2 linked regions of the Diceros bicornis minor genome follow. Each later gene encodes a partner of the first gene's protein in a complex. Links are inferred from orthologs where the notes say so. Each region holds a gene or a part of one and is shown in the gene's direction. Other genes may lie near its edges.

What was found.
Region 2: the proteins of LPL (region 1) and GPIHBP1 are in contact, whole or in part, in a crystal structure (PDB 6OAU), measured with the Homo sapiens proteins. The link is inferred for Diceros bicornis minor from reciprocal best matches to the Homo sapiens genes LPL and GPIHBP1. Residues at the interface, in NP_000228.1 of Homo sapiens: Tyr367, Gly368, Thr369, Ala371, Glu372, Glu374, Leu403, Met404, Lys406, Lys430, Lys440, Ile443, Cys445, Ser446, Arg447, Glu448, Val463, Lys464, Cys465, His466, Asp467, Ser469; in NP_835466.2 of Homo sapiens: Cys68, Lys69, Ser70, Leu92, Ala94, His95, Gly96, Asn97, Thr98, Glu99, Ser100, Leu103, Thr104, Thr105, Ser107, Trp109, Cys110, Thr111, Asp112, Ile117, Lys119, Val121, Glu122, Thr124, Val126, Met128.

Annotation. Positions count from the first base shown.
Region 1 is NC_080750.1:73,708,573-73,723,101, reverse strand, and holds the start of LPL (lipoprotein lipase), read left to right. Parts: upstream 1-8,775; 5' UTR 8,776-8,939; coding exon 8,940-9,027; intron 9,028-14,529. UniProt on the Homo sapiens protein: Key enzyme in triglyceride metabolism.
Region 2 is NC_080760.1:55,937,777-55,952,651, forward strand, and holds GPIHBP1 (glycosylphosphatidylinositol-anchored high density lipoprotein-binding protein 1), read left to right. Parts: upstream 1-9,855; coding exon 9,856-9,907; intron 9,908-10,503; coding exon 10,504-10,623; intron 10,624-11,232; coding exon 11,233-11,349; intron 11,350-11,487; coding exon 11,488-11,747; downstream 11,748-14,875.

The DNA of each region.
Region 1 (14,529 bases):
TACATGTATGTTAATAAGTCTTATGTCTTCTTGTTGGAATGTCGCTTTTATCATTATGTAATGCACATATTCGTCTCGTTTTTTTTTTTTATTTTGAAGTTTGTTTTATCTGATATTAATGACATGTACACCTGTTTTCTCTTCTTTGCCATTTGCTTGGAGTATCATCTTCCATCCCTTCACTCTGAGCCTATGTTTGTCCTTAGAGCTGAGATGTGTTTCCTGGAGGTTGCACATTATTGGGTCTTGTTTTATAATCCATCCAGGCACTCTGTGTCTTTTGATTTGAGAATTCAATTCATTTACATTTAGAGAGATTATTGGTATACGAGGGCTTAATACTGCCATTTTATCTTTTGTTTTCCAATTGTTCTATATTTCCATTGTTCTATATTTCTTTTTCCTTGTGTTTTTGTCTACCATTTCAGTTTGGTGGTTTTCTGTGATGCTTTTCTCAATTTTCTCTTTGTTTATGCTTTGTGACTCTGCTCTGATTTTTTGTTTTGTGGTTACCATGAGGTTCATATAAGAGATCCCATAGATGAAATAGTCTCTTTTCTGATAACCTCTTATCTCCACTAGCCTATGCAGGCTCTGTCCCTTTCCCCTTCCCATTCTATGTTTTTGTTTTCACATATTCTTCCTTTTTTTGTGTTGTGAGTTTGTGAGCTAATTGTATTAGCTATAGTTATTTTTGATGCTTTATTTCCCTTTATATTTTATGTTATAATTAAGTGTTTACTCACCTATTCTGATACAGAGCAGTAATTTTCTGATTCTGTTTATCTATTTATCTCATTCTTAAGGTTTTGCAAAATTTTGCTTTTTGGTTTCAGATAGGAAGGCTCCTTTCAACATTTTTTTGTAAAGCAGGTCTAGTGGCAATGAACTCCCTTAGCTTTTGTCTGTCTGGGAAAGCTTTTATTTCTCCATCATTTCTGAAGGATAACTTCATTGGATAGAGTATTTTTGGTTGATAGTTTGTAACTTTCAGGGTTTTGAATATATCATTCCATCTCTCCTAGCCTGCAGGGTTTCTGCTGGGAAACCTGCTGAAAGACTGATGGAGGTTTCTTTGTAAGTTATTTTTGTCTCTCTTGCTGCCCTTAATATTTTTTCTTTATCATTGACTTTTGACAGTTTTACTATTATCTGCCTTGGAGAAGGTCTTTTTGCATTGAGGTAATTAGGAGTTCTATTATTTTCATGTACTTGCATGTCCATTCCTTGTCCAGGTTTGGGAAGTTCTCAACTATTACTTCTTTGAATAAGCTCTCTACTTCGTTCTCTCTCTTCTCCTTCTGGAATACCTACAATGCTTATGTTACTTTTCCTAAGTGAGTTGGATATTTCTCAAAGAATTTCCTCATTTTTCTTAAATCTTACTTCCCTCTCCTCCTCCCCCTGACTCATTTAGGTTTCTATCCTTGAGCTCACTAATTCTCTCTTCCACATGGTATGGTCTATTTTTAATGCTTTCTACATTATTTTTCATCTCACTTATTGTGTTCTTCATCTCCAGAATTTCTGGGTTTTTTTTTTTTTTTTTTTTTTTTTTTTTTTTTTAGAGTTTCAATCTCCTTGGTGAAGTTCTCCTTCTGTTCACTTCATTCCTGAGCTCATTGAACTGTCTTTCTGAGTATTCTTGTAGCTCACTGAGTTTCTTTATGACAGCTATTGTGAAGTCTTTGTCAGATTGTAATCTTCTGTGACTTCAAATTCGGTTTTGAGAGAGCTGTCCTTCTCCTTCTGTTTTGCAATGTTATTGTAGTTCCTCTTGGTGTTTAGTGAATTGATCTTCTGCTGGCACATTTGTGGTAGTAACCAACTTTCTTATTTGGGTATGGCTTTTGTTACTTTGGTTCTGTGCTGCTTCTGGTTGTATTTGAGAGCCTACACTTTCTTGTCTCCATTGCCTCTGCCATGGTGTGTCAGTGCCTCCTTGTGCTGCTTGTGCCTCTGGGGCTGCTGGTGCCTTTGCTTTAACCTCAAGTGTCACCACTGCAGTTGCCAGGCTGTGAGCACTTCTACTGCTTCCAGGGTCTCCTTGGTCCTGTGTTCCTCCACTGACTCTCCATGGGCTGGGATTCTGCTGCACCTTGCACCACCTGTGCCATTGTTCCTGGGTGTCTGGGAGTGCTGGCTGTACTGCAGCCAGGGGTGTTGGGTTCATGGGTGTCACTGTCACTACCAGGGGCCAAGGTATTTGGGAAACTGTGCTCAGCCCCTGCTGTTGGTGGAGCTGGTGTTAGGGATGCTGCCACTGGGGGCTGGGTCACCAGTTCTGCTGTGGTTCCTGAAGCCTCTGGTCACAGGTTCCACCTGCCACCACCAGGGGGGAGCAGGGGCTAAGCAGGTCAAGGTTTTTGTTGTTGCTTGCTGTGCAGCCTCTGGTCTTTAGTGCTAGCTGGTGTGTTTTTAAAACTCAGGTCAGAGTGCCCCATCCCAGCTGAGGAAATCTGAGTTTTATATACTATCTCCACTGCTGGAAGGACCTGGCCACTGCTGCAGCAGGGGGAGGGGGCATGCATGTTGGATCTACTGGTAGATGGGTAGGGATCAAACCTGCCCTCTCTGTGCCTCTGCCAGGACTGCTCACCAGTGCACAGTCTAATTCCTCAGGGAGAAGAGCAGGGAGTACTCTGATCTTTTTTCTTACAGGCATGCAGACTAGTGTGGGGATCCATGCCCTGGATTGCTGCTGCCAGGGGAGGGGGAGGGGGTTGCTCCCCTAGATCCACTACCTCCTGGCGGTCCAGTCCACCCACCTTCAGTTGTATAGAAGCCTGGATCTCTTATGTGTCCTGTTGTGCTGTATAGAGAATCCTCTGTAGGTCAATGGATGTCCAACTAGTTGTAACTTAGAGGGGAGAGACAAAGGGAAAAACTCCACCGTGATGCTGACATCTATTACTATTTAAAATGAAAATTAAAACAAAAGACCATTTTCATCTTCCAGGATGGTAGAGATTAACTAGTTCAGTAATACACAATAACGGCCACAATGTCCACAATCACTCTACTCCCCTACATTATAGACAAGAATATAAATTTGACACTTTCATTAGAGGATGACTTTACTTACTAAAATGATAAATATTCATACATTTTGATTCAATAATCTCAAAGAATCTGTGTTTGTTCATTATAGCATGGTTTATATTACCAAAAGACCTAAGTAACTATTAGTAGATGTCTAGTTTAGTAAATGATCGTACCACCACATAAGAGAAACTTACATGGCCATAAAAAGAAAGAAAAAAAGGGGCATCTCTGCATAAGCTCATCTCTAAGTCACATTACTAGAGGAAAAAATAATTGCAGAACAGTGTCTATGGTATGCTGAGATTACTGTAAAAACTAAGCTGTGAATATGAGGATGAATATACACACACATATGCACATATTTACAAACACATATATGCTTGTAAATGCATAGACTTTTCCGGAAAAATACACGAGAAAGGGAACTAGATGCTTCTGGAGAAAGATTAGAGGATTGGAAACTGAAGTCAGAGAAAGACTTTTTTTTGCTTGCATACACTATGTACTGCTTGAAATTTTGTATTTTGTGGTTTTATTTTGGTCAAGATTACATCACTTTTTTGTTGTTGTTGTTGTTGAGGAAGATTCACCCTGGTGAATCTGTGCCAACTTCTAACATCTGTGCCAATCTTCCTCTATTTTGTATGTAGGTCACCGCCACAGCATGGTCACTGAAGAGTGATGTATGTCCGCACCAGGGAACCCAACGCAGGCCGCCAAAGCAGAGCATGCCGAATTTAACCACTAGGCCACGGTCCTGCCCCAAGAGTATATTACTTTTTTATAAAGAGTTAATTGAAAGGAAGAAGAGAAATAATAAGAGACCAGCAAAAAGCCCCAGCCAAATGAAGCTGTCCTTCATTTCCCTATCCCAGATAGATTTGGCCTGACTAGACTAGATTATGGCAAGGAGGATGTATGTGTGTGTGCACATGCACATGTGTATTTGTTTGTGGTCTGTGTTCAAGTTTCATGATTACTAAATCTAGTGAAAATTTAAAATTAAAATAATCTTGCTTTCTCACCCATTTAGCATTGGATCATCTTTTACTTGAAATTATTAATTGACCCAACAGCTATCAACTAAGTGCCTCCTCACTTCCCAGCACAGTTTGATGCTGTGGGAAGTACCACAGAGGAGAGAAGAGTAATACCTTCCTTCACATTACATATAACAACAAAAGAAACAAGAAAAACTCAAATACAAGAGCTTAGTGATTACCTGAGTCAATTCTGTTTCAAGCCTCTTAAAATGGCTTTTTTGAGATGTTACAGTATCACCAGGAAGTCAGCAGGGGGCACTTCAGACACATCCGTGCTGAGTCCAGCTCAGCTCATTTTTAGCCTAGGGCTTTGATGTTTTGTCTGAAGTTATCTCAAAACGTGAAGCCCTCAGGGAAAAACATTTGCAGTCTTGCATATTTAAGTAATTAACTAGGTCTCATAGAAAGTCTCCTTTGATTTCCTTCATGGACTTAAGTTTTTAAGTTTTGGGGGGTCTTTTGGTTTTATTTTAGAAACGGAAAGAAAGCCTACCTATAAATGAACATAGATTATAAATCCAGTGTGTTATTTGTGGGATATTGTTTTTAGGTTTTGTGAGCTGTCCTCTATGAAAGGCCTACATCCTTCTCCCCTTCAGCCTGTTGCAGTTTGTCTGTGACAGCATGTGTCTCTCTGGTGTGTTCTGACATGTCTCCCTCACCACAAACCCTTGTTCGAGGACATGGCATTGTAATTCATTGGGGTTTTTTTATTATTATTATTATTATTCTCTTTTTTAAAATTAGCTTTTATTTCTCTTCTTAATTTTATTTAGACAATCGTGTTTTTTTTGTTTTTTGTTTTTTTTTGTGAGGAATATCAGCCCTGAGCTAACATCCTATGCCAGTCCTCCTCTTTTTGCTGAGGAAGACTGCCCCTGAGTTAACATCCATGCCCATCTTCCTCTACTTTATATGGGACGCCACCACAGCATGGCTTGACAAGCGGTGCATCTGGGATCTGAACCTGCGAACCCCGGGCCACCAAAGTGGATTGAGTGCACGTAACCGCTGTGTCACCAGGCCAGGTCCTATTTAGACAATCTTTTAATGCAGATATTAAAATATGATTTCTTTATTTCTCTTTGTTTTTTGTTTTGTTTTTGGGAGAGGGGAGGGAATGAATATCCCCAACTAAAGGAAATTAAAATCCTTAAAATGTATCTGGATTATTTAATACCACACTTTTACCATCTGAAGCAATTCTTTCCACACCCCACATTTCCTTCACCCTCAAAGCAAAGAAAGTCAGCCTGATCCCTGTATTCATACCTGGTGGAGGAAGGCAATAGTAGCAAATTGGCTAAATATAATATTTATTTGTACTTCAACTTTATAGAACACAACACTCAACTTTACCAATGGAGAGCTATATTCTGTCTAAATTTAATCTGCCCTTGAATTGCTACTTGGAACTTCTTGAGCATAGCATTGGTAGGTAATGAATAAAATACCAGCATCTCCACTTGTCAGCTGCTGGGTAGGAGAGCTCCAGCATCAGGCACCAGATCCCAGACCTTTAACTTCAACCTCATTGTCACCCTCACTGTCACTCACCGTCTCTGTTCAGAGGCAGCTTGTGCTCCTCCCTGCCTACAATTTACTGCTGGGATATGGGTGGATAGCGGCAAAAAAGTCTTTTATGGCAATTTTTAGTATACACCTTTGTTTTGTTTTTTTCTTATCAAAAGTCAATAGATTTTTAAATACTTTTTATATTTATGATTTCGTATTTGTAAATTTTATTTGTATTAGCCATGCTTTCTTTTCTGCATTAAATATAATTTTTGTGATGGAGACCAGATCCACTTCAGTACTGATGCTCTTCTAGAGCCCACTTAGACATTTCATCATATTTTAATTTAGCAAAAAAGCCACAAAATAAAATGTGCATTAAACTACACATCTACAAAAACATCTGTTTCCCAGTCTTTTCTGGTTTGAAATTACAGTACCATTAAAATATAACATATCAAATACATTTTCCTTCTTTCTTGGGATCGCCAAAGGAAAAAATGCTTTATGATATGTGGTTACTGTTATTTAGTTTTCCTTGAGTTTCATCTTCCCTCATCTGTACAAAAGGAATATTATTAAGTTTGGGGTGTTTTTGTAATGATTAAATGCAGAAAGGGTTGAAAAATGTCCAGTGTGTGCAAATAGCAGGCCCTCATTCAAAATGATAGATAGATGATTGATAGATAGATAGGTAGGTAGGTAGATCGATCGATCGATCGATCGATCGAACTTCCCTACATGTGGAGTTTTGGAGTTTCTGGTCATCTCTTCAGGTATGCCCATTTAACTTTTTACTTACATCATACTAAATTTATACCAGGAGCAAGTGTCCTGCCAAAAGAGCGCTGGGTTGTTAAATATTTATAAAAGGCTTAGCTTCTTTTAATGTGAAGCTTCTTAGGACTGTTGCAAAGGGAAGGTCAATTATGGAAAAAGTCATTCCTCAAGCTATCAGTGATCAAACAGCGTTGCTGAAGTTTGGACCAGGCACTTTGCGAACGCACACGCAGTCAGGACTTGGAGATCCTGTGAGTCTCTGCAGGAGAGCACAGGCAGCTGATCACTCTGAGAGCAGCCAATCAGGAGAGCGCACTGCCATCACACCCACTTGCCACTTGTCTCTGGGATTGGAGGCAACTTGTCTGCTTTTCTATCAGGCTAAGCTGCTACGAGTTAATTCTTCCTGGAAATCTCTGCAACTCTAATGACATGCAGTGTAACAGGACAAGCCACTACAAAACGGGTTTCAAATGAAAAAAAAAAAGAATTACCCTAACTTTTGATTGCTTTGGTTTTGTTATGTGTTAACCTGAGGAATCATTTTAAACATACATTATGCACATCAAACACCCTTTGAGCAATCACGTAAAATCTTCTTGCAGTTCTCTGGGAGGCACAGAAGTGCAAGTTTGTTTGGTTGTCTTAGTAAATGATATTTATGTGTAAAACTAGGCTGCATAAGTATTCTATACAAGATAGTAGGTACTTTTGTTTATCATCTATGTTTTGAGCACATGCAATGCAATTGTATTCATCTTGTGTCATTTTTTAAAATTAGAATTTACTATATAATTTTTGGGAGACTGCCACGTTGTAGTTACTCATCCCCTGCATGGTCTGCTCTACCACTTCTAAAGTTTTTCTGAGGGGGTTAATTCTTGGCAAGTTTTAAAATTCCTCTACATGCTATGTAAGATACAATGAATGTGCACAATGTATTTAATAATTGCAATACAAGACTGTATATTGTGTTGTGGCATTTAATGCACCAACTTTAAGACAGAATTCTATTCTACAGAATAACAGACTGAATTATTTGGGTATTAACAGGTGTATTTCATTTTTGAGAAAAACTTAAAATGTGAGCCTAGTTTAAATTGTATGGCCTTTCAATCTCCTAACATACAAATGTAGATTGTGTGTGTGAGAGATAGAGAAAGAGAGAGGGAAGGATGAGTAGAAGGAAGCATTAAAGATATTCAGCGAAATAATCCAATAAATCAAAAGATTTATGAGTCTGTTCTCAGATGTAAATTGGAGAGTATAGAGTTAATTGTCCTCCTTGGCTAATGTAAATCTTTTATGTTTAAAAAGATAATTTGAAAGCATTCTGAGGATTTGGGAAAAAAAATACAATATCCAATGTGATTTCATTATTCTTATTATTATTCTACTTGCATACCTCAATACATGTTTTTAATACTTTATTAAGATATAACTTACACACCATAAAGTTAACCATTTAAAGTGTATTTTAGTATATTTATCCAGTTGTACAACCATCACCATAACCTAATTTTAGAACATTTTCATCACCATCCCCCCATAACTTCTCCATTCTCCTCCTTCTCTATTCTCTAGCTCCAGGCAACCACTAATCTACTTTCTGTCTCTGAGATTTGCCAATTTGTGGATATTTTATATAAATGGAATCATAAAATATGTCTTTTGTGACTGGCTTCTTTCACTTACCATAACAATATAGTTTTAGATTATTTGACCTCAATATTCTGCCTCTGAGGATAAAATGCTATCCCTACATTCCTTGATGTGTTTTAGGATTGGGTATAATTTGCACCAGGCAAAAATTAGGAATTAGAGCAAGAAGGCTTTTCTCCACCGAATACGCTAATCCATGGTCCAGTGTTAAATACCAGATTGTGCAAGCACAAGCTGAACAACAGTGTCTGCCTGTGGTCCTTAAAGTGACATTGTCTAGGAGAATTTGGGGGAAAAATAACACTGCAAGTTACAAACAGGATCTATCACATAGGAATGGGTTTAAGTATTGACCAAATGTAGTTTAACAGCTTAACTTGCCCTCCTCAGAAAACTGGTGATTGCAGAGTATTTAACAGAAATCCATATAAACCTGTGTTTGGTGCTTGTACAGGGGGATTCAGAGAGCCAGACCCCTTAAGAAAAGCAAATAGTAAGTTCACAGAGAAAGCAAATTTTCCCTTGTGCCCTTTCCCCCTCTTCTCTCTGGCAGGATTAATCGGAATTACAGTTTGCTCAAATATTTGGAAGTGAATTTACGGCCCTCCCCTCAACTTATGATTTTATAGCCAATAGGTGATGAGGTTTATTTGCATATTTCCAGTCACATAAGCAGCTGTGCTGTGGAAACAGTGTCAGACTCAATTCCTCCTCCTCCTCCTCTGAGGAAACCTGCCACTTCTAGCAGCTCTGCCCTCCGCTCTGAAGAGCGACTTGCCCCACGCCGGAGCGCGGCTCCAGCCCGCTCCTGCCTCGGGCTCAGCCGGTTCATCAGTCAGTCTGTCCACGCTCCCGACGGTGTTGTGTAGCTCCTACAGAAGGACGTGCCCCGAGATGGAGAGCAAAGCACTGATCCTGGTGGCTCTGGGCGTGTGGCTCCAGAGTCTGATCGCCTCCCGCGGAAGGGTGGCCGCCGCCGACAGTAAGTTTTGCGCGCAGACTCCTCTCCATCTGCAGACTCTGCTCAGTGGCAACCTCCACAGGTTGTGAGGATGGGAAGGACGACGTCGGTAGGGGTTGCGGATGCTCATCGAAGAGTCTCTTAGCCCGAGCGCCGGCCCCGAGAAAGGTCACTGGGGTGGGTTTCCGGAGCGGCAGGGAGAGAATTCTCCCTCCGATCTCTCTGGGGCGGTTCCCAGTTCCCGCTTTTTCTCTCCCCCGGTTCCCACGCTCTGCCCTCCACTCTAGCTGAGGCCGAGTTCCCGGGCGCCGGGGCTCAGCTGGGAAGGGCGGGACGAGGGAGGAGAGAGGGAGGGCTCAGTTGGCGGTGACCCGCAGTAACCTCCCCACTCGGAGAAGGCAGGGGGGAAAGGCTGGAATGAAAGGCACGCGGGCCAAGGTGACCCTGACTTGGCCGCGGCTCAGCCTCCGCCTGTGGGAACTCTGGCAGAGAGAGCTCCTTCTCCTGGAGAAGCCGGCCCGGGGCGGGGGGAAGGCATCATCCGCGTCTTAGAAGCACAGGACGCACTCGCTCTCCGCGTCGAAGTCGGGGTGGGGAACGAGGGACGCGTGGCGCAGAGTCCTGGGGACGCAGGATCCTGCACTCGCTCGGGCGCCGAGGAAGCTCTCCAAGCTTCCACTCTTGCACGCTCGGCTTTTCTTCGCGCCCAGAAAACCTAGCGAAGGGTTGACCCTTCTGAAAACATGGCGCAGCGACCAGCAGTCTTCTGTCGCTGACTTGAGGACTGCCAGGTTTGCACTTGGCCGCCCTCACTGCCCTCTGAGCTGAACCGCGCCTTCCGGCCGCCCAGCCCCACGTGCGGTCGCGAACACATGGGCCTTGTGGGCGCCGTGGGGAGGCCGCGGACTGAACCCCAGTGACTGCCGGGCCCCACCGGCTCGCCAGGGTTCAGACCTTCGAGGCCAGAGTGAATTTCTTTATTGCAAGGAAGACGAGCGTCCAGGCTCAGACCTGTCCACAATAGAGGCATCCTGCGTAACGTGAACCTTCGCTCAGCTAACACACAACAGCAACTAAAAAGGCAACTGAAGCAAGTCATAAGGTGGAATTGCACTTAGGGCGCAGTTGCTTGGATGTGCTTTCAGGGGCCAAGTCCTCAGTGATTCTAGTTATGGTTGAGTTTGCCCAAGACGTTGCAGCTGAGAGTTTCTTTTATTTCAGTACTGACTTGTGAAAGAACAGTTTTGTTAGGTTAAAAAAAATATTGATTCCATCAAAGCTGAACTGGGTAAAAAGACAAATATCTTTTCTCTTAGTTCAGTTTGAGAATACTGGAGGTTCAATTAGAGAGTCTGAAACGTCTTTCGTAGTGGCATGGTCCCCTCAATAGTGTGTAACACTGTCCAAGAAGAGGGTAGAAACAGGCTACGAATTCTTATTTCAGAAAGTACACCACAGGACAATGTTACCTTTACCATAAAACACACACAAATATGTGTCATCCACGGTTTAAGTTTTTGCTAGGCTCTCTTAGAGAGTCACGACCTTCAATGCCTGGGCTCATCAGTGTCACCTTTCTGGTTTAGCTGCCTCAAATCTAAATGAGGAGTTTGGACCAAACTGAAAGTTCTCTTAGGCCCCTCCAATTCTTACTCTTTGATTTAAATGGACCCTTAAGTGATTAACGAATTAAATTGGATTAATTAATGAATTAAATTGGATTTTAAGCTTTTCCTTGTTGTAAATGTATTCAAGGAGGAAACATTTTTAAGTAGACTTGAAATTAATCCCTCTCATCTTTTCCCTCCCACTCTCACTTCACCCCTACTCCCCCCTTATAGCATGCCTCTCTCATCACTGCGACTTTCTGCCCCTTTTCTCCTCCAAATGCATTCATCTAGGAATGTAAGAATTTCAGAGCAGAAAGGCACAAGTGTGAGGGAATGGTAAGCAGCTCCTCCTCTGGGCTCTGACTTATTCATTCTCGATTTCTTTCTAAGAAGAACATAAGGATATAAGGCACTGCCCTCAGGCTCTTTGTTCTTGGAGCCACCACAGTCTCTGCATGGCCTCATTAGGAAACTTGAAGAGCTAGGAGAGGAGCATGAGCCAGTGCCCAGTAGCTGCAGTTCCATTTGACTGGCCGCAGTGAATTTCCAGGCTAACATCTGAGTTATAATATAATGAGTGATGACAGCAAAATAGCAGATACCATTTGTGAATGGAGCAGAGCTCAGCAAGAGAATGATTGATTAATAGCTGTATTGAAAGGTGGGAGTCAAGCACTGGGGAACAGTTACAATGGAAAATTGTCACTTTCTTTCAGGCAGTGTATTTTTAGCTCAGCCCTCCTTTTTCGCTTTATTCTGGGAGGAGAAATTGGGCTATATAGTGTCGGGGAAGACAGAGAATCCCCCTCAACCCTTTCCCTTAAGGTTCTTATGGCTGGCCAGATAATTAAAAGACAGGTTAGCAGGAGAAAATAATACCAAGTTTAATAATGTGGATACATGGGAGAAACCAGGGAAACTGAGTTTCTCAACAAAATGGCAGAGATTCTCATGTTAAATATTATCTTCAGCTAAAGACAAAGGAGGATGTTGGGGGAGGTAATGGTTTGGAATTTCAGAGGGGAAGAAGACAATTTACATGGAGAGGGAAACGTAAATGTTCGTCAGACAGTTCTTTATAGGGCCACCTGTAGAGAATGTGTCCGAGAGACAGAAATCACAGTAATCAAGAGTATGTAGATTTAAGTCCTCCCCTTCCGTACTGATAACAGTTTCTACAGATAAGGCCATCTCCCCCTCTTCCCAGTACACAGAGGGAGATACCTTTACAAATGTAAGTATTTGGTAAACAGAACTTTGAAAAGAATGGGCTTAGCGAGGACCCTGCCAGTCTGTCCATACCCAGAGTTAAATTCCTTTAGGTAGTTAGTGGGGGAGGTCTAATGTCCATCAGAGAAAATAGTCAAGGTAAAGAGACATATTTCAGGGTGGCCAATTTTTGATCTCCCACAATAGTATACTGCCTCTATGTTTAGAAACATTTTTTTCTATAAAAATGAAACTGTTAGGTAAGTCAAGAGCATTGTCTAAATTGAAATATGTGAAAGGACCAATCAATTCAGTCATATAGCAAAATATTCAACTTGTTTTTTGTCATTCTGCAAAAGCTGCCTGAGCCAATAACTATGGTCATCAGTCTCAGAGAGGAGATAAATTACTGATGAAGTCTCTTAGGAGTGTGTTTGTGTGTGTGTGAGAGAGAGAGGGAAATAGAGGAAGCGAGAGAGAAAGAGAGGGACGGAGGGAAGGAGAGAGGAAGGAAGTAGAAACTTCAAAGAGAATTGCATTATAATTGAGCTTTTGTACCTCATGTCTTCATATAAATGTTAATCTTATTCATCTGATGACTGTGAACTGCCTTTAGAGTATATTTCCTGGGATGCTCAATGCTTCTCCTTTTCTAGCTACAATTATGTACTCTCCATAAATTTACTTTTAAAGTGCTTTGATTTCTCAGGCTAATTTCATCTCTGTGAGTTATTACTCACATTAAGATAAGTTCCTTGTCTTTCTTCACACACTTAGATTTTTAGCTATTTATTTAGGAATAAAGATTACATAATCGAGAAATCCATTAACGTGTAACTTGCCTGGTGCCCCAAAATCTTGTCTTAGTGTTTAATAAGGATATGTCCAATGGGGCCAGGTTGGCGTGGTGGTTCTTGATAAGCCAAATTCAAGGTAAAAATCCTTTAGAAGGAATACATCTTAGGCACTTTTTTTTTCATTATTATAAGGTGGCTTTAATTTCTAAGGGCAGTGGGTAAAAGATCCATATCCCCTTAAAAGGGTAAGTGCAGAGTCACTAACAATGGAGTCAAATGAGTTCATCCTCAAGCCAGGAGCAATCTCAGTGTATACTGGGACACACAAACTTACTGACTGACCCACAGTCAGGTCCATCTATCTCCCCGTCTCTACATGGCTAAGTCACTCGTGTGAGGGCTGATAGAGGTTCGGGAAGCACATTCATCTTTAGGATGCTGAGACATCCTTGAGGGGTTGCAAACACCAGAAGTGTGAAAATTCCCATCAGAACACCAAAGAGAAGGAAAGACTATGCACCAATAACATGTATGATTTCAGATATAGAACTGACATAGAATTGAAAACATCATAGCATATAGAGTGGTACTGTTATCCTGTCAAAGGCTTCATTATGCTTTCTGTAACTTAAAATGAAAAATAATTTTCTTTAGGGGCCGGCCCGGTGGCGCAAGCGGTTAAGTGCGCGCGCTCCGCTGCGGCGGCCCGGGGTTCGCTGGTTCGGATCCCGGGCGCGCACCGACGCACTGCTTGGTAAGCCATGCTGTGGCGGCGTCCCATATAAAGTGGAGGAAGATGGGCACCCATGTTAGCCCAGGGCCGTCTTCCTCAGCAAAAAGGAGGAGGATTGGCGGATGTTAGCTCAGGGCTGATCTCCTCACAAAAAAAAAAAAATAAAATAAAAATAAAAAAGAAAAAAAAAAAAATAATAATTTTCTTTAAAAATGAAATAAAAGTCTCCAAATACAAATTTGCTTGAGAATGTGTGAATTTCCTGTTATTTTTTCTTTACAAGCCATGTACCCAACAGAAAATGTTGGTTGTGGGGAATTGGAGCTCTCAATGAGCTATACAGATAATCTGATACAGGATCTATGGATTGAATAAACTTTGCGTGTGTGTGTAAATATACAAACCAGTCTTAATAATTTCAAAGAATATTCTTAGTCATTTCAAAGCCATCAGCAACGCCAGGGCCACAGTGTTGCATAATTCTAGGGAAAAATAGACTAAAAGTGAATGGCATCCTTTGGAGTTGTGCAAGGCAATAGTCTTAAATACCGATTTGGCAGATAGGTAGTAGGCAAGATCTGTGTGCCAGGCTGTTCAGATTATTTCTGCTTTAAAAAGATTGCTAATTGAACGTGTTAAAATAAGATTGTTAGAGAGGAGGCATGAGTTCTTTGATGTGGAGAGACATGAGAGAGGGTGAAACTAATTTAGTTTTAAATTTTCTAAAGCACTTTCTAATAATAACAGAACTTCTTGGGCATTGAAAGCAGAATCAGATTAAAAATCTACAGTATTTTTTTCTACTATCAGATAAATAATAAGGCCACCAGAGTACTTTCTGCTTACGAAAGAAAAGGAAGCCCTACATCTTCAAATAAGATGAGAGGCAGAACAGTATTCTTGATGGACAAATAGATTTCAAGTGCAATTTTACTTTATGGAAATGAAAAAAACTTTAAATATCAGTAGTTAACCATAGTGTCTTATTTGGATAAATTATCTTAGAATGTTTAAGTGCTGGAGATTTGTGTGTGTGATCAACTTGTTGCGTATAATGAATCACTTAACAAGTAACCACAATACTGTTTAAGGAATTTTGGAAAATAATTAAAAAGAAAATTGTTGGTCAGTTCTCAGATAATTATATAAGCCTTGTTCTCCTGTACTTTCACAG
Region 2 (14,875 bases), on another chromosome or scaffold:
TTGGAGAACATGCTTCCACATAATGAGGCCTAAGCTCCTCCTGGAGAGATCTCCAGGCATTAAAAATAAGGCAAAGGTGGGGGCCGGCCGGGTGGCACAAGTGGTTAAGTGCGCACGCTCCGCTGCGGCGGCCTGGAGTTAGCCGGTTCGGATCCCAGGCGCACACCGATGCACTGCTTGGCAAGCCATGCTGCGGCGGCGTCCCATATAAAGTGGAGGAAGATGGGCACGGATGTTAGCCCAGGGCCAGTCTTCCTCAGCAAAAAAAAAAAGAGGAGGATTGGCAGATGTTAGCACAGGGCTGATCTCCTCACAAAAAAAATAAAAATAAGGCAAAGGTGATGGGCATAGCTCTTGTGGTGAGGCTTGGTCAATTTCAGGATGGCTGGTGGTTACATCTCCTTAATACCCAAAAGGAAAAGAAACAACTTGGAAAAATAGTTAATTGTTTCCAAACCCACCTTTGAGTTTCTCGAGGCACCTAGTCGGAGACATGATCAGCATGAGGCCTCTTCTACCTCAAGGCCACCCCTTGCCCAGAGAGGCACACGGTGCCCATCACCTGGGCAGCTTGTTGGTGGAGAGGCTCCCTGGACCCCAGTGGGCCTGGTCAAGCTCTGGTTCCAGCCTCCGAGCATGGCCCTGAGCAAGTCCCTCCCTGTACCTCCCTTTGCGCATCGGAAAATTCGGGGAGTGATTTCTCCCTCAATGGGAAGGAAGGAGGCCCTTCCCTGTCTGGCCACTCTGGGGTCCAGAGAAGGATCTAGACACAGGGAGATCAGGGGCACAGGTTCTGGGAACAGGCCCGCCCACTCCTGCCTTATAAGGAGGTTGGTGGGAGCTGTCAAAACCCTGCTGCCCAGGCTACCTGCTCCCACCAGTGAGTCCCCCCCAGGGCCCAGATTCCAGCAGGGGCCCTGCTCTGAGGGAGGGAGAACGAGGGACACTGCAGGTGGGAGGCTGCTCCTGACCAGAGTGCGACTAGTGTGCTTACCTACGCCAGAGCCCAAGCTAGGCCTGCTCCAGGGGAGTGAAACCGAGAATGGAGTTAAAATTTCCCTAGATTAGGGGGACGCCCTGCCTGCACCCACAAGGGTAACATGAGAAACAAAGTAACCACGGTTTCTAAGCTTGCCTTGCAGAACAAGGGAGGACTGCTGATAAGACAGCAGCTTGCTGACAGCCCCCCACCTGACTGAGCATCTGGCAGGAGCTCTGAGAATCTAAAATGACCCACTGTAAATTTCAGGCGTCACAGGCTAAAAATCCACCGCAGGCAACACATAGAAACCCCCGAATCTGCAGATGTGACGTACGAAGAAATATGAAAAACAGTCGTGCCTACGCAGAGGACTCTTAAAACTTCAGCCCCCAAGGCCACATGCTACCCCTCCCCTACCTAAAACCCCAAATAAAAACCCTTGCTTGGAGCTTTTCAGGGAGTTCGGGATTACAGCGTTAGCTGCCCATTCTCCTTGCTCTGCACTTTGCGATAAAATTCCTACTTTCTTCCACTACACTCGGCATCAGAGCTTGACTTGCTGCCTGATGGGTGAGCAAATCCACTTCCAGTTCAGTAACAGGACAGCCATTCCTGCACCCAGACCTGTCACCTGGGGGTGACACACCAGGCCCCATGCCAACTGCTTTGCGTATTAATCTGACCCACACAGCCATCCACTGTGGGAGGCTGTGGTCATCCCGTCTCCCAGTGTGAAGACGGAGGCAGATCGCACTGGGAACCTCCCCGAACCTCCCTTCTCATTTCTCTGAGCCTCTCCTTGCCACGGGCTGACCCTTTTCACGCCATAACTCCATCTGAAATGCCCTCAAATCCTACAAGGAAAATATTGTCAACCTTGTCCTCTAGGTAACCAGAAATGGGGGCAGGGAGGGGCAGCCCTTGCCACGGACGCTCGCTGGCAGTTGGAGATGGAGGCACCCTCCCAGCCCAGGGCTCCCTGGTCCTGATGAGACTGAGTCCCCATACTGACATGCAGGACTCCATGTTTTGAACTTTCCCTGACCTCCATCTCACCCTCACAGGATACTTTTAGAAACGCTTAGAACTGCACCCAGGCAACCTAATCAGTAACCGGTAGAAAGAATAACTTGTTAGCAAGAAAATGTATGATGCCTGCCCAGAACTGTTCCTTCTGTCTCAGATGAGGAAATAACTCGTTTTCTTAGATTCCACAGGATATGTCACATTCAGCAGATCTGAAACTTTTGTCAACAGAGAGGTGCCCGACAGTCTGTAGGCATCCATCACCTGATGTTCCTGAGCCCCCTCCCAAACCCCACTGGCCTTGTATAAGTCGTTTCCAAAGCAGTTCCCCTTTAAGATGGCATTTTTAGCACGATATGCGCCATCTTCTGATCAGCTAGCTCATGGCTTAATGAAGTTCCTTCTCTACCACCCCCGCCTCTTGACTGATTGGCTTTTGCCTTGCGGCGAGCAGATCAAGCCCTTGCCGCCTCAGCCAGGCAGGCCACACCCCTCTCAGCCCATGTCCTCCTCTGTAGGTAAAGCCTGATTTAGAGCGTCAACACTCCAAGAAAACAATTCACTCACAACTCCTGCACTCTGTGCACCGGGACAGAGCAGGGAGCAGAGCCACATAGACCTGCAGGGCTGAGGTGCAGCTGACAGCCCGGCGCTGCTGCTACTACAAAAAGCAGAAGCCTGTGTGGTCTGGCAAAAGCCCAGCGCCAGCCCTCACCATGGGTCTCAGCCTCAGCTTTCTGGAACTCCACCCTCTGGAGACCCCAGACCTACCTCTAGAGCCGAGAGTCCAGAGCCTCGAGCTGGGGCTGAGACGTGAAGACCGTGCTCCTGAGGGCTGTGCTGCCTGCCCTGCGGGGTGTGGAGCTTGGTGAGTCAGGCCCAGGGAGGCTGAGGTGGAGCAGGGGCTGGGAAGGTCAGGAGGCCACCCCTGGAGAGATGGGGTAGGGGTGGGGGTCTGGGCCTCTTACCACCCCTCTCCCAAGCCCACCCAGACAAGATCCTGTGGGGACCCTGCCAGGCCTGCTGGCCTCACCTGTGGCTCCTCATCTCACCCTCCCAGGGCCCATTCTAACACGAGCTTCTGAGTCTTGAGTCAGGCAAACCTGGGTTTGAATCCCAGACCTCCATTTCTCTCCAGGGTCCTAAGAGCTCAGAATGAGAACAGGCACCAGATGGGGTTGGGGGCAGTCCAGAGGGAGGCACCACGTGGCAAGAGCACAGAGGTGGGATCTCGCCTGGGCTGGGAGGTCAGAGGGACTGGCCTGTGTCCTCTCCTGTCCCTGCCTCCTGAGTGACTGCATGAGAGAGCCCTGTGCCACAAGACCCACGGCATCTCTCTGGAGGAGCAGCTCCCTGGGTGAGTGCCACTTCCCCCCAGGGCTCTCTGTGTCCTTCCTCCCAACACCCAGAGAGTCCCCTGCCCCATCCCCAACCCCACGGGATCTGGGAACCACAGGCCCCCACTCAGCGAGCTCCTTGGGCAGTGGACAGGGCCCTGTATTTCGAGTTGTGCCCCTAGTCACATCCCATTCCTGAGCTCAGGACCTGGGCGATTCCCATCATCCTTGAGTCACAGATTCCTGTCGATGCAAATAATCCATAGTCAATCTATAAATCAAAATTGCGGTAAGTTTATTATGAGCCAGATCTGAGGTGCAGCCTGGGGCCTTCCTTCCCAAAGGAAGGAAGGGCACCAAAGAAGTAGGGTGTATAGACTGGTTATGTTCCGTCTTGGAACAAAGAGCATACATCACATATGACAGGAATGTCTCTTTTACAGTTGTCACGAGATGCTCAGCGGGCACAGCAGGTCGGTGGTCAGCAGGTCAGTGGTCACAAGGTGAGCACAGCAGGTCGGTAATTAATCCTTAGTTTCCAGGAAGAAATGTTTATCCTCAAAGAAATGCCCATATGGGAGGAAGCTACATCCCTATCTTTAGGAGCATCATCCTTGTCTCTGGGACATAGTAGATATTTAGAGCAGATGTACAGTGCGTGCTCAACATGCCATGTCAGGCCCTTTTGGAAAAACAAGGTCAGGCCGAATTAGTTTTAAACCACATGGCTTCCTCATATCCTCCAATACATCCTATTGCTTGTCATTTATTTACCATTCCTCATCCACACATGGGGAGATGCACACACCTCCCCAGAGGAGTGAGAGAGCCGGCTCCTGGCCCCCTCTCATCCTAGACCCCAGGTCCCACAGGAGCGACGGGGAGAAGCCATCCAAGGTGGCTGCACCCCTCACACCCCCAGAGGATGATCACAGTCACATCGACTCTGGGGAAACTTAAAGAGGTAGCAGAGCTGGGACCCCGCCCAGACCACCCACCACACTCTAGCACTCCCCCTGGCTTCTCCATCGCCTCCTCCCCACTCCCCCCAGGGATCTAACCTCACCCCCTACCCTGCCCCCCTCCAGCGGGACTGCTGGGCGAAGACCCTGCACCTGAAGTTCTGCCACCACACTTGCCAGGAGTCCAAGTGGGACGTCCCCAGGACGCGGGTCGCCTGCTCCACATGGGCCCGCAGACGCGCTGCTGCCAGGAGGGCCTGAGCAACAACCAGGGCCCAGCCCATCGCCCAGGGAGGGGAAATCCTGTGCTGCCCCAGGCGCCATATTTGACCTAAGTGACCCCGCACCACCACGTGCAGAGCCCAAGCCCGCGCTCAGCTCGCCATCAGCATCTTTCCTTGCAGGGCCTCTTTGGGGGGGTGGGGGGCGGCTTGGGCGGAAGGCGGCACCCTGTAGAGCTGAGACCGTGCAGAGCGCAAAGTCTGCTGAACACAGACTCCGTTTCCTCCCTTTTCGTACAAAGAGCAGCGCGTGTGCACTCTCTCCAGCCCCTGCTTTATCCGTGTGATATTCTTCTGATTCAGACACAAAAAGCATCTCCATTCTGTTATACGGCCGCAGAGAATCCCGCATAATTATTTTCAGAGTTTTTTTAACAGGTCAGTGTGAGGGAGATCGATTTCTAATGCGATAAAATAAAGGACATGCACAATGCCCCTCGCCCGTGCACTTTCCGAAGGGGAGTGGCAATACGAAAGACTGGGGCCCCAGAAGCTGAGAGGCCAAGCCTGGAACCCCTCAGCAGGAGGATGGCCACGGTGGCGGGGCCTGCGGAAGGTCTCTGGAGAGGGTGGTGCCGTCTCGTGTCCCTTCAGTGCTCCAGGCGAAAGGAGGGGCACCTGGGTGTTCGAGGTCAGGGGCGGGGAGGACAGCCGGGGGGGGGGGGGGGGGGGGCAGGGAGTGGGCGGGGTCAGGGGGGGAGGACAGCGGGGGGGGGCAGGGGGTGGGCGGGGTCAGGGGTGGGGAGGACAGCCTGGGGGGGCCAGGGAGTGGGCGTGGTCAGGAGTGGGGAGGACAGCCTGAGTGGGTGGGATCAGGGAGTGGGCGTGGTCAGGAGTGGGGAGGACAGCCTGAGTGGGTGGGATCAGGGAGTGGGCGGGGTCAGGAGTGGGGAGGACAGCCTGAGTGGGTGGGATCAGGGAGTGGGCGGGGTCAGGGGTGGGGAGGACAGCCTCTGGGATGCTCTGGGCTGTGTTCCATGTAGAAAGCCTGGGGTGAGTGGCAGTGTCAGATGGGTGACTGATGAGAGTTCAGCTCCTGGCACGTGGAGATGTCACCAGCGGTGCCATCAAGAGCTGTATAAGGAAGGAGTGAGGAGGGAGGTTGGGTAGAAAATTAAGGAAAGAGAGGGCTTTTCAGGGGTTTGTTTCTAATAATTGTTTTAATGAGAGACACTTGGGTGTGTTTACATGCAGAAGGAGAGGAACCAGTCCAAAAATTAATCAGAGAATCACCATATGATCCAGCAAAGCTGCTTCTGGGTGTAGACCCAAAGGAAGTGAGGGCAGGGTTTTGCAGAGATCTCTGTACACCATGTTCACAGCACCAGTGTTCACAACGGCCAAAAGGCGGAAGCAAGCCAAGTGCCCACCAAGGGATGGACAGATAAACAGAATGTGGTCCATTCACACAATAGAATATTCTTCAGCCTTAAAAAGGAAGGAAATCCTGTCACATGATACAACCTGGATGAACCTTGAACACATTATGCTGAGTGAGATAAGCCAGTCGCAAAAGGACAAATACTGTATGAGTCCACTTATATGAGGGACCCAGAGCAGTCAAATTCAGAGACAGAAAGTAGAATGGTGGGTGCCAGGGGCTGGGGGGAGGAGGAGTTAGTGTTTGATGGGGATAGGGTTTCAGTTTGGGAAGATGAAAGAGTTCTGGAGATGGGTGGCGGTGGCAGTCACACAACAATGTGAATGTAATTAATGTCACTGAACTGTACGCTTAAAAATGGTTAAGATGGCAAATTCATATTATGTGTATTTTATCACAATAAAAAAGTTGAAAAAAAAAAAAGAAGAGGAACTAGTAGAAAGAAGAGAGGGGAGCTGCAAGCCCAGGAGAGGAGAAAGATGCCGGGGCCAGGGCCCGCACTTCCAAGGGGGCCGCAGGAGAAGAGGGGGCATCGGGACAAGGGTGGGGGGGTGATACCGGGCACAGGGTGGGCAGGGTGCCAGTCTAGAGGTGGAAGGCTGGGAGCTTCGCAGAGGAGTAGGGGCAAGGTAGTCTGCTGAGAATGCAGGAGCAGGGGCAGCACTGCTGGGCTGGTGCTGGACACCAGGGATCTTCAATCACCCTCCGCCAGTGGGGCTTGGTGGGGCAAGGGAAGGTGAGACTCCCCAGGGTTGGTGTGGATGGGGCCGAGGGTGTGCGAGGACTAGAGAAAATGAACCCTGAGTATTCCTGGGGTGTGGACATGTGGAAGGGAGTGGGGAGGCCAGAGTGGGAGGGCAGGCTGGACAGATGAATAATGTGGGCCTGCATGCCTGAAGGAATTGAGCTTCTGAGACCCTGAGGTGTTTCCTCACAGGTCCTGGGCGTGACTGGAGTGCAGGGCACTGGGCCCTCCAAGACGACTGGGACCCTGTTCCCTCTGGCTGCCCCGCCCCCCACCATGACTGTTCCTCGGTGCTGGATTCCAGGGAAGAAAGGGGCCTCATCCTCATTACAAACCCCGGGAGTGACCTGCCTGGCTGGTCACTCTGGGGCCATCAGAAGCAGAGACCCCAAGAAAGAGCCCTCATGGCACCCTGCCCACACTGGAAGGAGGGTCTGGACTCTGCTCTAAGGAGGAAGGCCCTCCCTCTGTTCCCAGAGGCAGAGAGGGTGGGAAGGAGCCCTGAGCAGGGGAGATGGGCGTGAGGGCCAGCACCTCTGCAGCCCACATCTGCCCCCATGCCTGTGTACTACCAGGCAGGGCGAATGCCTTTCCTGACCCCACAGACACCAGACCTTTGCCTGTTGGTCAGAAACATTGTCCTCTCTTCCCCTGTTCTGGGTCTAATTCACCTGGTGACCCCAGAGGCCAACACAGGGTGGGGAGGGGGACAGAGTAGGGGCTCAGAGCCCAGGACAGGGCCACACAGCTTCCCAAGGAGAACAGGGCCTGTGGTCCCCCACCCCCACCTTCTGCCCCCTGCCAGGGCGGGAGGGAGTGTGGATGGCCGGCGTGCCCTGTCCACGACTGACACCGAGGTCTGAGCCCACGGCTGCTGCCAGGAAGAGCAAGGTGACCCACACCACTCACTCGGCGGAGGGAGGCCAGGCCTGGGGGAGGGGAGCCAACCCAGCAGGGTCCACCGGGCCACCCACAGGAGCCAGCCTGGCCGAGCGCGACAGAGCAGGCAAGGCCAGGCCCACGCTGCGCAGGGGTAGGCGGGCAGGGAGCTGGGGCCCCCGGGCTGCCCTAGAAGGGCATCTCTGCGTGTGGGCATGGCTGAGGGAGACAGCCCTGGCCCAGGAGTGCGCCGAGCCCAGGGCAGAGGCTGTTCAGGACGCAGGCTCTAAAGTGGGCCTGTGCCACCCACGGGCCACCAGACCTCAGCCCTGGCCCTGGGGGCTCTGAGGGAGCCACGCCCCGACCTGGGGGGTCTGCAGGGCATGCCCTTGTTCTGGAAGCCTGGGGTCAGAGAGGTGCCACCAGCAGGCATGTTTTTGGACCAGAACGTCTGAAGAGGCCTGGGTGGGGAGAGGGGTGGGCATACACAACCCCCTCAACCTGAGGGCTGGGGGCCGCGGTGAGACCAGGTATCTGTTGTCAAGGTGTCGGGGCGGGAGGCCAAGCTCCCCAGCCTCACCGGGCCTCAATCACACCTGCGACCACCAACTTTGGCCTAGCCATGTGGCTGCGTCTGCATGGGTTGGACCAGACCCCAGCTCCTTTCCTGGGGAAGAGGGAGCAGTGCCTGCAGGCAGTGGAAGGGAATGGTGAGGCCGCAGGAGCAGGGCAGTGAGCCCATGGAGGGGGCGTGACAAGGCTGTGGAAGGGGGGGTGGCGAGGTCGCAGAGCGGGGTGGTGAGCGTGCAGCCTGGGGTGTGGTGGGGGGAGGGGGCAGTGGTGGTCAGTACAGCAGTGATGGAAACACCCCACCTCCCAGAGTTGTTGAGGGCTGGTATCAATTACACTGAATTTTAATTAGTGAACTAAACCGGGCTATTAATATCCCTAGGTGATTCTGACAACAAGCTCTGGCCTGGGCTGGGCAGCTGGCACCTGGGCCGAGGAGGAGCTGGGCTTGGGGAGGGGCAGGCGGCAGGTGGAGACCCCTGCTCCCTACCAGTTCTGGGAACCCTGTGGGGCCCTTCCTGGGAGCAGCTCCTGTGACCCCAGATGGAAAGGCCTGTAGGAGGAAGCTGGGTTGACTGGGGGCTGCCGTGGACACAGTCTGAGGAGTGAAGAGGGCAGGTCTAGGGCCCGGACTCCGGACTGGATGAGACTCCAGCTGGAAAGTGACTTTGGCTGCCGGAGTGGGGGACAGGGCTTCCAGCATCCCCATTTCCACAGTCTATGGCCCTCAGAAGAGGAAGGGGTGCACCCAGGGACACAGCCAGGAGGCTGCCAAGCTGGCCTGAGCAGCCCAGGCCTCTCACACAGGAGCCACAGGCAGAGGGTGGGCGGGCGGGTGAGGGAGGCCAGCTGCTGGCTGCTCCCAGCTCCCACCAGCCCTGGACAGCCTGGCACAGAGAGCGTTCCCCAGGGCAGGGGTGCCCCCTGGTCAGGGAGCAAACACGAGGGAAAGACAGGCCATGAGATGAGTGACGGCAGGGAGGCCTCTCTGAGGAGGTGACATCTGAGCAGGTGAGGGGACAGGCAGCATGGACATCGGCAGGCACAGCATTCCAGGGGGAGGAAACAGCGAGGACAAAGGCCTGAGGTGGGAGCGAGGGCAGCCAGGCAGCCAGGGAACCAGTGCGCTGCTGGGGGAGAGGGGAGGAGTCGGGGGAGGATGTTTATTGGGCTTTTATTTAAAATACTCTTAAGAAGCCCTGGACTACGGGTGAAGCTGACACAGGGTTGAAGGTGCCCGGTGGGCGGCCTGCAGCTGGAGGGCCTGCGACGCCAAGCTCCTGCGGCTGTGCGGCCTGGGCCTGGGTCCCACAGGGTCCAGACGTGGGACAGGGGGCTGTCAGGCACAGCCCCGGCCCAGGGCGAGGCCCACCAGCCCGCACCACGGGGCTGAGGCACCAAGGCCGGCGAGCCAGGCCGGGGGCGGAGGGGGCGGGCGGCACAGGTGGACAGGATGCCCCAAGGCCGACCACAATGACTTCCCCTCCCTCTGGGGCCCCTGAAGTCAGGGAGGGAAGTGGCCATCCCTGGCCTGGTGCCTGGCGCGGGGACCAGTGTGAGACCCATTGTTTGAGGCTGGAGCTGGGGGGGCCAGGGCCTCAAGGAAGCCCCGGGCAATGCATCTTGTCCCACTTCCCACAGACCCAGAGCCAAGCAAGGACCCGAGCGGGCAGCCCCGGCGGCCCCAGCAGGATGAAGGCGCTCACGGCTGTCCTGTTTGCCCTGCTGTTGTGCCGGCAGCCAGGTACTAAGGGCTAAGGGAGACCCTGCAGTGAAGGGGACAGCATAGTCTAGGCCCGTGGGGACCCCCAGGGACCCCCAGCCTGGGGGCAAGACACAGCTTGGGGGAAAAGGAGTGGGTGAGGCTGGCGTCCAAGGCCAGAGGCAGGTGGAGGGGGTTGTCCTGGGCTCCCACAGACCCCCAAACCTCTGCAGCCCCCCGACAGCCAGGCTCCCTGCTCGGCATCTTTGAAATGCGGGCTTTGAGATTCCCCCTCCTCTCCCAGCCTCAATTTCCTCTGCTGTAAAATGGGCAGGCCATCCTGAAGGTTTACTGGGCGGCGGGGGGGCGGGGGGGGGTGCAGCTGCTGTAAAGGGCCGTCCACAGCCGCTGGTGTTGTTGGTAAGGACAATGCTAGGCTGCGCCCGGGTGAGTGAGCAGGGCCAGGGCCAGACAGGGACCTCACCAGCTTGGGAGGCGGCGGGAGGACAGAGTGGGGAGGAAGAGGACGGAGGGGTGGGGAGAGGACAAAGCGAGGGGCTGGGGGCGCGCACGGGGCCCCGAGCGTGTGTCCTCTGTACCCGGGTAGCGGAGGTTTACAGGCGTTCCTGCACGGCCAGGGAGAGGGCGGGCGCAGGACGAGGAGGATGAAGACTCGGACTTTGGCCCGGAGGGCTACGAGGACGACGAGGACGAGGAGGATGAAGAGGCCAGCATGACTGCAGAGAGCAGGGGCAGAGGTACCCTCCGTCTGGCCCCAGACAGCGGGCACCCGTCCCTCTTTTCAACACCCTGTGTGGTGCTGGTGTGATGGGGAACCGACAGGCAGAGGCCTCGCCTGTGAGCCTGCCTCTCAGCAGGGCAGGGGAGGGGATGAGGAGGAACCCTGACACTCAGCACACCCCTCACCTCTCACTCTGACCAGGACCCTCCACTGCCATCCAGAGCAGGGAGCCTACAGAAGGAGCCACTCCTGGAAGGGGCAAGGGTGCCAGGGTGGAGAGGTTGAATAGGAGTTCACTAAGCAGAGAGGGGTGCAGCAGAGCCCCAGGGTGGAGAGACCAGCGAAGGAATGCAAAGGCCTAGGTGGTAATCTCAGTTCAGAGTGACATGAGCAGTCTGGGGCAGGGAGGGGAAGGTGGGCTGGCCAGTCCTGAGGAGGAGGCCGCAGGGAGGCTCCAGCAGGGCAGGCTTTGTGGGGGATCAGCTGAGAAGGGAGAGGTGGACAGGAACTGCGGGAGACTTGGAGGGGAAGAGGCCCACACCAGCACAGGCTGGAGGCCGCTCCGTGGTGGAGGGGGAGGCGCTCTGGCCTGTGGCCGGGCCTGAGCCCACCGCCGTGCCTCCAGGGCTGCTGCGCTGCTACTCCTGCCAGTCCCTGCACAGCGAGGAGCTCTGCAACCAGACACAGAGCTGCGTCCTCAGCCAGACCTTCTGCAAGACCCTCATCTACCACGGGAGCACCGGTGAGCGGGCGCCCTGGGGCAGCTGCGAGGGCCATCACCCATGCCCGGGGCCAGGACAGGCACACACCCCTGTGAGGGGCCTGTCCCTGCCCTGCCGTCTGTGAGACGCACCCTTTCTCCACCACTCCCCGTCCCCAGAGTTGGGTCCCCTGACCACCTACTCGGCGTGGTGTGCCGACACGTGTCAACCCACCAACAGGACAGTGGAGGAGACCCTGATGACTATGACCTGCTGCCAGTCCACCCTGTGCAACGTCCCACCCTGGCAGGACCCACTGGACAAGGGGGCAGGCAGCCCCCAGGGTGGTGGGGCAGGGGGCCCCCCGGGTAGCCCCACAGCTGTGGCCACTGCCCTCCTGCTCAGCCTCCTTGCCGGCCCTCAGGCAATGGGGTCCTGAATGGGACCCCATTCAGGTGTGGGGTCCCCAGCCCAGCTTATACCCTGGCTGGTCAGCACTCTGGCCAGTGCCTTCCCCTCCTGAAACCCCCAACACCATCTTTGGAGAATAAACATGGAGTGTCTTTAATGATTGGGCCTGCACTGGCTCCTCCCAGCCCCATCTGCATTTCCCCATCTAGCATTCTTGGCTCCTCTTCCCCCTGCCCTGCAGGGTGAGATGGCCAGCAGGAGGGCCTCTGGTCCAGGCCTCAGCCACTCACAGGTGGGTCCATGCAGCCCCAGAAAAGTCTCATCGTATGCCAGGGGAGCCCGCACCCTTCTCTCCTCAGCTTCGCGCCAATGCATCACCTCCATCCACACGGCTGTCACCTGGGTCAAGCTTTGCCCTTTCCCAGGATGCGCACATCTGCCTCCCAGCCCATGTGGGGGGGCCACTGTGGGAGGGAGGCTTCCCGCCCATGGAGGAAGCCCCTGGGGGGCCGCAGGGGTGGGGGCGTTAGTTAATGAAGGGCAGCTGGGAGAGAAGGAGAGAAGAGAGGGAGGCAGAAAGGTAGGCTGAGACAGGACTTTCCAGCCAGCTGCTCAGCCTGGTGGGCGTGGAGTAGGGGGGTCTGGGGGGTGCAGGGAGAGGCAGAATGGACCTGTGAGTTCCTGAGGAGAAGAGGAGGGGGGTAGTGGGAAGGGACTGCATAGAAGAACCTGCAGGATCCCCAGTGTCTGCTCTGGCTGGGCTGGTGCCATTGGCTGCTGGGCACTTGGCCTTCTTGACTGGTGGGAAGATAGAGCCCTGGGATGGGAGGGAGAAGGCCTGGGCCTCAGTTTCCCCATCAGAGTAGAACAAGGCTTAGAGGACCCCTAGAGCCCCACCAGCTTGACATCCCCTGGGTTGGGAGGCCCAGAGCCTTCTCCTGCCTGTCAAGTGTCCCCCGCAGGCAGAGTAGCCTCCCACTCTCCAGTCTCCCCTTTCCTTATTAATGGAAACCTCGAGGCCTAGCTGGGAGTGGGCACGCAAATCCCTTAGGTGGAGGTGGCATGTCTTTCTTCTTCCCTTTCCTGCGCTTTCTGCTTCCCCAGGGGTGAGAGGGGGGCCCAGCTGCTGGCAGGGCCCCAGGACCCCAGAGAAGAGGCTGTCGCCACAGCAGGGGCCCCAGGCCAGGGCAGGCCCCGCCTTGGCTGGCTGGAATGATAGCTGGAGCTCAGCAGCTACCTTGCACCATGAGGCTGCGCACTGAGAATGGCAGGGCAGCATGGAGAAAGGGGCCTGGACGGCTGATGACCAGGAGCCATGACACCAGCCCTGCACTGCCTACCTCAGGACTCCTTTACCCGGGAAGGAAATAAACTTCTGCCATGTTGAAGCTAGTTATCCTGGGTCTCTCTGTCACTTGCATTTTCACACACTCACACACGCACTCGTGCACATGCACACACTCACAGTACTCCCACTCGTGCACACACTCACAGACACAGACAGCCCTACTGCAGCACAGCAGATAAGAGCAGAGCTGGGGGTCACGCTGCCTGGGATCAAATGTTAGGCCACACCCTCCTCCAGGACCCAGTGAGCCCCTCCCCACAGCGGTATTCCCCATTGGCTGAGCAGAAGGGCCTTACCTGAGGGCTGCAGTGAGAACTTCACAGCCCATGCCTGGTGGAGAGCAAGGGCCCAGCGACGTGAACTACTGCTATCAACATGGCCCTAGTGGCCCCAGCTCCTGTGTGCCGTGTGTGTGTGTGTGTGGTGTGTGTGTGTGTGTACGCACGCGCGTAAGGATGGAAAACCCCCACCTGAGTGCCTTACCATCAAAAGAAACCTCGTTAGCCACACCCGCCCGCCTTAGAAACATTGGGTACCATCACCTGCATCCACAGAATTCTTCCTTGGACCCCTGTCCTCAAGCCCTTCAAGGCCACCCCCCCCCCCCCCACACACACACACACACTCTTTCAAGGCCCTCAGCACCGGGTGGCAGCTGGGCTGCAGGCTCAGTGTGAAGCCACCGGCTGCGGGGCCTGCCCTGGCCTGGGGCCCCTGCTGTGGCGACAGCCTCTTCTCTGGGGTCCCGGGGCCCTGCCAGCAGCTGGGCCCCCACTCCCACCCCTGGGGAAGCAGAAAGCACAGCCCTGACTCCTCACTGGGACTCTAACCACCCCCCCATCCCCGCCTGAGGGCACAGGAGGAGGCACGTTGCGCTTTGATGAGGGGGAGGACCTGATGTGGGGCAGAGAAGCCCATCCGCTGGGCACCCCATCCCAAAACACCGCCCCCTCCCAGGCACCCCAGCAAGCTCACTGTCCTGGCACCCAGGGTCCCACCTGACCGAGGAGACACTGTGGCCCAGACTCGAGCCTCTGGCTCAAGGTCACGAAGCTGGGTGGTGGCAGGTACAGGACCCAGCCCTGGGGCCACAAGCCAGGTGGGCAGCAGCGCCAGGAGGCCTGAGCCAGAGGTTGGGAGGGAATGGATGGTGGCCAAAGCCCAACTGGATACCCAGGCCGAGTCCAGTCTGAGGTGCCAGGGGTCAGTCACAGCCAGGGCATTATCACAGAGCCCAACACCGGTCCCAAGAAGGAGCTGCTGGAAGCATCGGGAGGCAGCCCAGCAGGGCCGCTCCTCATCCAGCCCAGGCAGCACCTCTGCAGCCACCCAGGAGGCCGGCCAGGGAGCACGTCCATCTGGGTCACCTCATCTGTTTCCCATGGCTGCGGTAACAAATGACCACAAACTTACTGGCTTAAAACGACACAAAGGTATTATGTTACAGTTCTGGAAGTAAGAAGTCTAAAAGGAAGGTGCCGGCAGAGCTATGTTCCTTTTGGAGGCTGTGATGGTCAGCCACTGGCTGTCGCAGAGCCAGACGTGGTGCCTAACTCCAACTCACGGGACAAATTCTAACCATGCCTCCCTCCCTTGAGCTCTGACCAGCTGAGAACACGGCGAGGAGACATGTGGGGATCAAACGGCCCCGACAAAAGAGACAAAAGATACAAGTGAGGATGCAGGGCCCCAGGACAGCAGGGGCAGGAGACCTGGGTGCAGGCAGATCAAGGGGGTGCAGGAGAGACGGTGAGGGAGCCAGAAGCCACAAGTGCATCATCTCTTCTCCCCCTTAGGGACTGGGCTGC